Linked DNA regions of Macaca fascicularis. The protein of the gene in region 2 purifies or fractionates together with the protein of the main gene of each other region. This does not show direct contact. Links are inferred from orthologs where the notes say so. Each region holds a gene or a part of one and is shown on either strand. Other genes may lie near its edges.

The links. The genes of interacting proteins can lie anywhere in the genome.
Region 1: the proteins of STX6 (region 2) and VAMP4 purify together in Homo sapiens (co-immunoprecipitation; 5 studies listed by BioGRID and IntAct, counting the BioPlex papers as one, with this or other methods). This does not show direct contact. The link is inferred for Macaca fascicularis from reciprocal best matches to the Homo sapiens genes STX6 and VAMP4.

The regions. Positions count from the first base shown.
Region 1 is NC_088375.1:29,326,183-29,329,831, reverse strand, and holds part of VAMP4 (vesicle-associated membrane protein 4), read left to right. Parts: intron 1-2,131; coding exon 2,132-2,232; intron 2,233-3,140; exon of another isoform or gene 3,141-3,196; coding exon 3,197-3,276; intron 3,277-3,649. UniProt on the Homo sapiens protein: Involved in the pathway that functions to remove an inhibitor (probably synaptotagmin-4) of calcium-triggered exocytosis during the maturation of secretory granules.
Region 2 is NC_088375.1:38,510,389-38,514,137, reverse strand, and holds the start of STX6 (syntaxin-6), read left to right. Parts: upstream 1-1,237; 5' UTR 1,238-1,492; coding exon 1,493-1,527; intron 1,528-3,749. UniProt on the Homo sapiens protein: SNARE promoting movement of transport vesicles to target membranes. Targets endosomes to the trans-Golgi network, and may therefore function in retrograde trafficking.

The sequences.
Region 1 (3,649 bases), about 9.2 Mb from region 2:
TACATGCTATAAATAAGATAGAGTAATGGGGTAGAGCATGCTGTTTCACAGCTATAAGGTTAATACAGTGCATTCAATGTACGTTCGAACATATGTTCCGTAAGGGCTGGGATTACTTGTCTATTTTGTTCAATGTTACTTCCTCAGTACCTAAAACAGTACGTAGTAGGTTCTCGTTATTTGTTGAAGAAATTAATTAGTTGTGTATTTGTGCCATTGTTCTTAAATAAGATGAACACCTTCAACTCTCTACTTAGGGGACTGGGAGTTGCAACAAGATGTCTTAGAGACTTAGGGGTTCTTTCAGATCTGTTTGGACAGAAGAGAACTCTGCATGCCCAACTTGGTTGAGCTTCAGTCTTATATCCTCCAGTGGAATAATATGTGGGAAGCACAGAACTCTGGGATGCTGTGAAAAATCTTGAAGTTTATGTGTGGGTAATCAGTGGGTGTACATAATGCTTTTAACCTGGGATGGAGGTTACTGTCATCAAGCTTAGTAATTGCTACTTGAATCTGAGAGTACTTCTGAATCCACCTATGTCTAAATGGGCCTTCATTTTGTTTTTATAGCAAATTTTTTAAAGAACTAGCTCAGTGATCGGAAAGGATAGAACTCTTTCAAAATTAAACATGACCGTGCCTCACTCCTCACTTACTACATTAGTTTGGGGACTTGTGTGGGGTAGAGGGCGGAGACCATATCTGTGTATTGTAAAAAATTGTTAAAGCCCCCTACTCACTTCTTCCTTTTCCAACTAGAAACGCAATTGCATATCTTCATTTATTTAAATATTTATACATTTAATGTTTATAACCGTCATGGACCCTTAATGACAGGCTACGTTTGGAGACATGCATCATTAGGCAGTTTCATTGTGTGAACATCATAGAGTACTTACACAAACCTACAGAGTGTAGTCTACTACACACCTAGGTTATATGGTATGGCCTGTAGCTCCTAGGCTACAAAGCCATACAGCGTGTGACTGCACTCAATACTGCAGGTAATTATAACACAATGGTAAGTATCTGTGTGTCTAAACTTATCTAAACGTAGAAAACATGCAGTAAACATATGGTATTATAACTTATAGGACCACTGTTGTAAATGTGCTTTATCATTGACCAAAATGTTATGCAGCACATGTCTGCAGTAAGTAATCCAGTGCACTTTAAACAGTGTTTAGTTGTGAGGACCATGGATTTGCTTTATTTCTCCTTTTAAATATTTCATTGTTGTGACTTATTTCATAAAGTAATTTAAGATAACTTTTTGTCTTGTGGTTAGAGCCACAGAGGAGAATAAGACACTTAAAATGATTAAACATGTCCATGTTTGTGTACTCTGGAGTTAACTCCTGAATGAGAGTGGATAGCTGAAGACAGTTATTACAATTTTAAGTTTAGGTTAAGTCTTTACTGAACAGCCTGAAATTTGGTTAAAACAGACCCCCATCATCTAATATAAAGGATGAACAAACAATCGAAAAACAGAAAACAATTTTTTCCTTTTTGCTTCCTGGTGGGTTCTTCAAAATATTCCCAGGTGTCCCCAGTTATCTTATACCCTGTTTAAGAAAAATCTGATGAGCAGTGAAGAATTCTACCCATTGAGCATCAGTATCTCTTAGAATATGCCCTACATTTCCATTCTGGAAACTAGGAATGTTTCATAAGCCTTTACCGTACCTGAGCAAAAGGTATGTTAAAAAGTATGTTAACATACCTCCTTTGTTAGCCTTCGTGTATGAAATATATAGCAAAAGTAGGGTGCAGCCTCAATAGCCTGTTGAAAAGAAAACCTGATTATTTTTAGTGAAGCGGTTTAAACTCTGCACTTAATGAGCATGCTGACAGTACATTTAACTTGCTTATGGGTTGCAAGTCAGAAGCAGGGCTAAAAGTAAGCTATCTTTAAATATTACTTTAATTTATATCAAATTGTCTTTCATTATCTGAATACTGAAGCCCACAAATGGAAGAACATTGCTATAAAGTCCTAAATTTAAATTTAATAGTTGAATAATTCTCCGAGAATTTGCTGTTCTTTATTATGTCTAATGAAATTTCAGAAATTGTAAATATTCTCAAAAGAAGGATAAATAATTGTTTAACTTTTTTAAACTAGTGTTCAGAATCAAGTGGATGAAGTTATTGATGTCATGCAAGAAAATATTACAAAGGTAATTGAGAGAGGGGAGAGACTAGATGAACTACAGGACAAATCAGGTACAGATCTTCATGTATTCCTTGATATTACTAATCTGTTTGCTAGTTTTTTTCTTCTACTTATCTAGCCAGCATTTACAAATCTTGGCTTAGGAAACTGGTATTTGGTTCTTAAGTGTATGATTTTAATGGTTTAATTTTAACTCCTTTACTTTGAGTCATCTTATTGTTACATTATTTTTTAATTGTTCATTGGAGAATGAAGAATTTAAAATTTCATTGTTGAAGAGTGAAGAGTAGAGCTGTTTTTTCTTTCGCACTTTGATGTTGATGAACTTTGTGTTTCTCACGATCTCAGGGCCGAAAGACCTACTCACTTTTCAACACTTGTTTCAAACTTATCTGCTATTTTTATTTTATGTTTCATTTGGTAACTTAGTCACCTTTCTTTACTTTCAGTCATTACACCTATAACCTATATACCCATACCTGGCATGTACTTGGCACTCAAATATTGTTTGAATGGTGAATGGCTGAATACCTGATTAATCTTTGACAGACTTAAAAAAAAGACAACCTCGCTTAGTCACTTTTAAAATGTATATTGTTTTCCTTTAAAATCAGTCACTTTTGATATCTTCTAAAAAGCTAACTTCTCTACATGTAATTTTTTTTCTAGAGGTGTGCCAAGTGTTTGAATTTTTAAAGAGTATTTTCTTATTAGAATTCCTAAGCTTATTTATAAGCATTAAGGCCCTAAAAAGACTTTTCTTAATTTTATAATAAAAAAGGATTGAGCAAACTGATCTGCAAACTGTTTTTTACTTTTTGTTTTTGTTTTTGTTTTTTTTATAATGTAGAATGCCAGAGTTTGTGGGTGGAAAAAAGGGAGAATGTTGTTTTCATGCTTAAAAGGGAATAAATTTGCAGAAGTAGAAATTAATATTTTCTTATCTTTGTGTGACTAGATAAAAGAATCCTGTTATGTCGTTTAATCCTTCTCTCCATCCTCTATGTGATATAGAAAGCTTATCGGATAATGCAACAGCTTTTAGCAACAGATCCAAACAACTTCGAAGGCAAATGTGGTGGCGCGGATGCAAAGTAAGTAAATCAGAAGCTCCTGGATAGATTGGTCAGCATCTGAAGTGGTATTCAAACACATGAAGGAAAAAGGGCCTCTAGAGCATAACATCTGTGAGAACAGGGCCTATAACTGTCCTGAGACATGGTAGAAATTCAGTAAATACTTGTTAACTTAATTGCTTTTGGGATAGGGATAACTAAATAAATCAGTATGCCTAAAAGGATGTTTTCATAGATTTTTTTTCATGAGAGTAATCCACATTTTATTAATATTTGGCTACCTCTAGACTTATTAACTTGTAACAAATATACATTTTTTTCTTGAAATTTACTGTTAGTACTTTTTTGAGCAACCTCTAGCATTATATAGAGATATCAAAAAAATAAAGTG
Region 2 (3,749 bases):
GCATGATGGCAGTAATTATCGCACTGTAAGAGCAACCGAGATAACACTTAACACCCTGCCTGACACACACACACTAAGTGCTCAATGATTTTCAGCAATCAAAGTCCACAATCCTCATCCACAAACTCCACAGCATATCTAGCATATGAGTTGGCTAAGGTTCTGGGCAAAATGTTTTCTAGAATAGTCCTTGAACCACAGTGAGAGGAAGTTGTCATACCTGGCCCCTTCTTTATTCCTTGTAGGTGCGCTCTCCTGGGAGGCACCATATGCTGTATGAAAAATTACTTTACATGGTTATTTGCAGAATGTACAGCAACATAAAGTACACCCCATCTGGTGGAAAGTGCACAGAATCTGCAGTTCTGCTCTGTCCAGGCTGTGTGACTACAGGAAGTCGTGAAGCCTCTCTGAACTTATTTTCTCATCTACAAAATGGGAGAAATGGATGGCGTAGGGGCTCACGTCCGTAATCCCACCACTTTGGGAGGCAGAGGCAGGAGGGTCTTGTGAGCTCAGGTGTTCGAGGCCAGCCTAGGCAATATACTGAGAGCTCTATCTCTACAAAAAATTTAAAAATCAGCTGGGCGTGGTGGCTCTCACCTGTAGTCCCAGCTACTCGGGAGGCTGAGGCGAGAGGACCGCTTGAGCCCAGGAGGTCGAGGGTGCAGTGAGCTGTGATTGTGCCACTGCACTCCAGCCTGGGTGACAGAGAGAGTCCCTGCCCCCCAAAAAGGGGAAGGAGGGGAATAATACCTTCCCCCAAAGAATACTGAGATGATGCATACACAACTTTTTAGCACACTCTCCAACACAAAGTAAGACCCTACTTGAAGGAGCTGTGTAGCATCATAATCAGATACTATGCTTCATTTTAAGTCGAGGACCAGATAGATTTATAAATTACATACTGTCAAAATCAAGTATTAAAAGTAGAGGAAAGGTAAGAGGATTTTGCAAAACAGGTACAACTACAGTTTATCCTGAAAAGCCGACTGCCTACCTCTGAGGGAACAAGCCGCTCTTCACCTTCAAGCCTGAGGAGAGGGCGGTAGAAAGCCGCCCACCTCCTCCGCCCCGAGGGCTCCGCCTCCAGGGCGGAGGGACGCAGGCCCAGGCCCCGCCCACTGGGGGAGGGGCAGGCCCTGATCACGTGAGTGGGGTACGGAAGTCGTGCTTCAGGCGGCTTTCGTGATTGGCCGCAGCCGAGGGTCCTGGGGGTGGGGTCAGGCTCTCCGACTCGCCGGGAGGAGCCGGGACTGGAGGCTGCAGAGGGGGCCGGCTCTGGAGTCCGGGATTCGGCCAGTGGTGCTGAGCGAGTGCTGGACCAGCGGTGGTCCCGTGCACCTGGCCTGCGCGCGTGCCCGCTGCTTGGCGTCCCCCAGTCTAAGGCGCGGGCGGCTGCGGGAACAGGCCGGGTGGGCGGAAGGAGGCCGGGAGGCACGGGCGCTCTGTGCGCGGTGGAGGTGGAGGCGGCCGGGGCCGGGACGCCATGTCCATGGAGGACCCCTTCTTTGTGGTGAAAGGGTGAGTGTCGGCCGAGGGCTCCACTGGAGGAAGAGGTGGCGGTGCTGCCTGCCCGCACCTCCTCGGTCTTCTCGCAGTAGGGGGAGGGGAGGCAAGTTGGAGCTGGGGAGGGGTCACAGTGGAGACGGCTTAGTCTTGAGGGCCATGACCAAGCGTCCAGAGACGTCTCCTGCATCCCTACCTGGACGGTGAAGCCACTGTCCCCAGCCAAGCCCCTGGTGGTGGTGGGGCCTTTTTGGCCTGTGCGCTGCGGTACAACTTATTTGGGGGTCGAGGGGCTCAGCAGCTCTGCAGGTGAGAAGGAGACACGCAGGTCCTAGCTCACACTGGCCGTCTATTCGAGCATGGGACCTTGCTTCGAAGGAGCGAAAACAGCATCTGGGCAGGAAAAGGGAAATGGCCCTCCTGAGCTTTGTAGTTCGTGTTGACGGGGGTGAACTCCATTGTCCATTGAGTTTGGAGCGCTCGTCCGCAGGACTGGCGAGACCACAACAAGCCCAGAGGCGTCTGAGCACGTTTGCTGGGAGGGAGGCGGGGGCGGGGGCTGATCTGGGAGGCTGGGGAGCAGGGCACAGGAAGACAATTCAATGGGGGGAGTTTTTACTGAGTAATGTGAGGAGAGGAAAGCAGTCGTTCATACTCAGTGATGATTTGGAAGGAAAACAAAATGAAACAAGCCAAACCAAACTTTCCTCAGCTTTCTATTAGCAACCGGAATTTTCTCACAGTGCTAAAGGAAATGAGTGTTGCTTGTTAACTCCTTGATATCATCCAGGCTGTTTGACAGGTTTCTCCTATTTCTTCTGCCTTTCAGAATAGAACTGCCTTCTGTTCCCTTGTAAGCTGTCCTAACTCCATCTTGCTCGATTGTTTCTTTGGAGATAGAAACTTCAACTGCACTTTGTAATATCCACTTTGTAGCCATTAAACAAATGCAAGAAGATTAATTCTGATGTAACTTTTAGTTTCTTATTAGAAACGTGTCAGTTTTCTGTTTTAAATGTCAAACATGAAAAATCTGAAAACTGCAAAGTTCCCAAATCAGTACTGATCACAGAATGTCCCTTGCTTTTAACGAGTTGCTGCTAGCTTCCTATTTTTGTAGTGGTACAAGCTGGCTGTTGTATACTCAAGTATTGTAGAAAATTTAAATGGCATTTTAGGTGAAAGATTTTATCGATGATGCAGTAAAATACACTTATAATATTTCTTAACATTTCCCTGGAAAGGTCTTTTTCTTCACCTTACTCTAATTTAGATGGGAAAATGCTGAGTTGTAGATTTACTGGTAATATGTGACTTCCTACCTGGAAAATGTGATATTTATTAGAAGAATTGATTAGGGGTTAATTTTAAAAATGTGTTTTTTCCTTGATTGAAAGTTCTTAATGCTTAGGTTGGCAAAGGTTATCTCTGGCAGTGGAGATCAGAGATGATCAGAAATTTTTTGTTTGACTTTTTATGGAATTTGTCAAAAGCCTAAATTCTTCTGCCGTCGTGGCATTTTTTTTTTCTTGACGGTATCCAATACAGTCGTCTAATGCTTGTTCACTGATTAAATATCACTACTTTATTGGAACATTGGTTCGGAGTTTTGATTGACTTTTACATCATTTTAGCTCCTGTCTTTAAGGTTCTTGAAGGAAAAGAGATTCTCAGTACCTTCTACTGTGGAAAGGTAAAGTCACCCATGAAGGTGTATCCAGATTTTTTGGGAGTCATGCACCTGTGTTTATTAAAAGTATCAAGAATGCATTACACAGCATGGAAAAATTAAAGATGCCTAAATTATGGCCTAGGAGCTTCTAGTCTAATCTGAGAAACAAATTACCCCAAAATTAAGTAGAAATGACAGGTGGCAAATGAATGAGTGTTGAAGTGAATGCTGCAGATGATGAGTGCCCCAGGAGTTCAGAGAAAGGCATCTCCTTGGGAATTGTTAGGATTAGGAAAGCTTTTGGAGGCAATAAGTATATCTTGAATTACGTTTTGAAGATGGGCAGAATTTAGATAATCAAGCCTGTCTCTTTTATCTGGATGCTTATCAAAGAATCTTTTAATTGTTCTTCCTGCTTCTGGTCTCATTTCCTCTTTCAGCTGTCCTGGGATCTATTGGATCAGTGCTGTCCAATAGAAGTATAATGCCAGCCACGTACGTCATTTTACATTTTCTAGTAGCCACAGTAAAATAAAAAGGAACAGGTGAAATTAATTCTAATGTA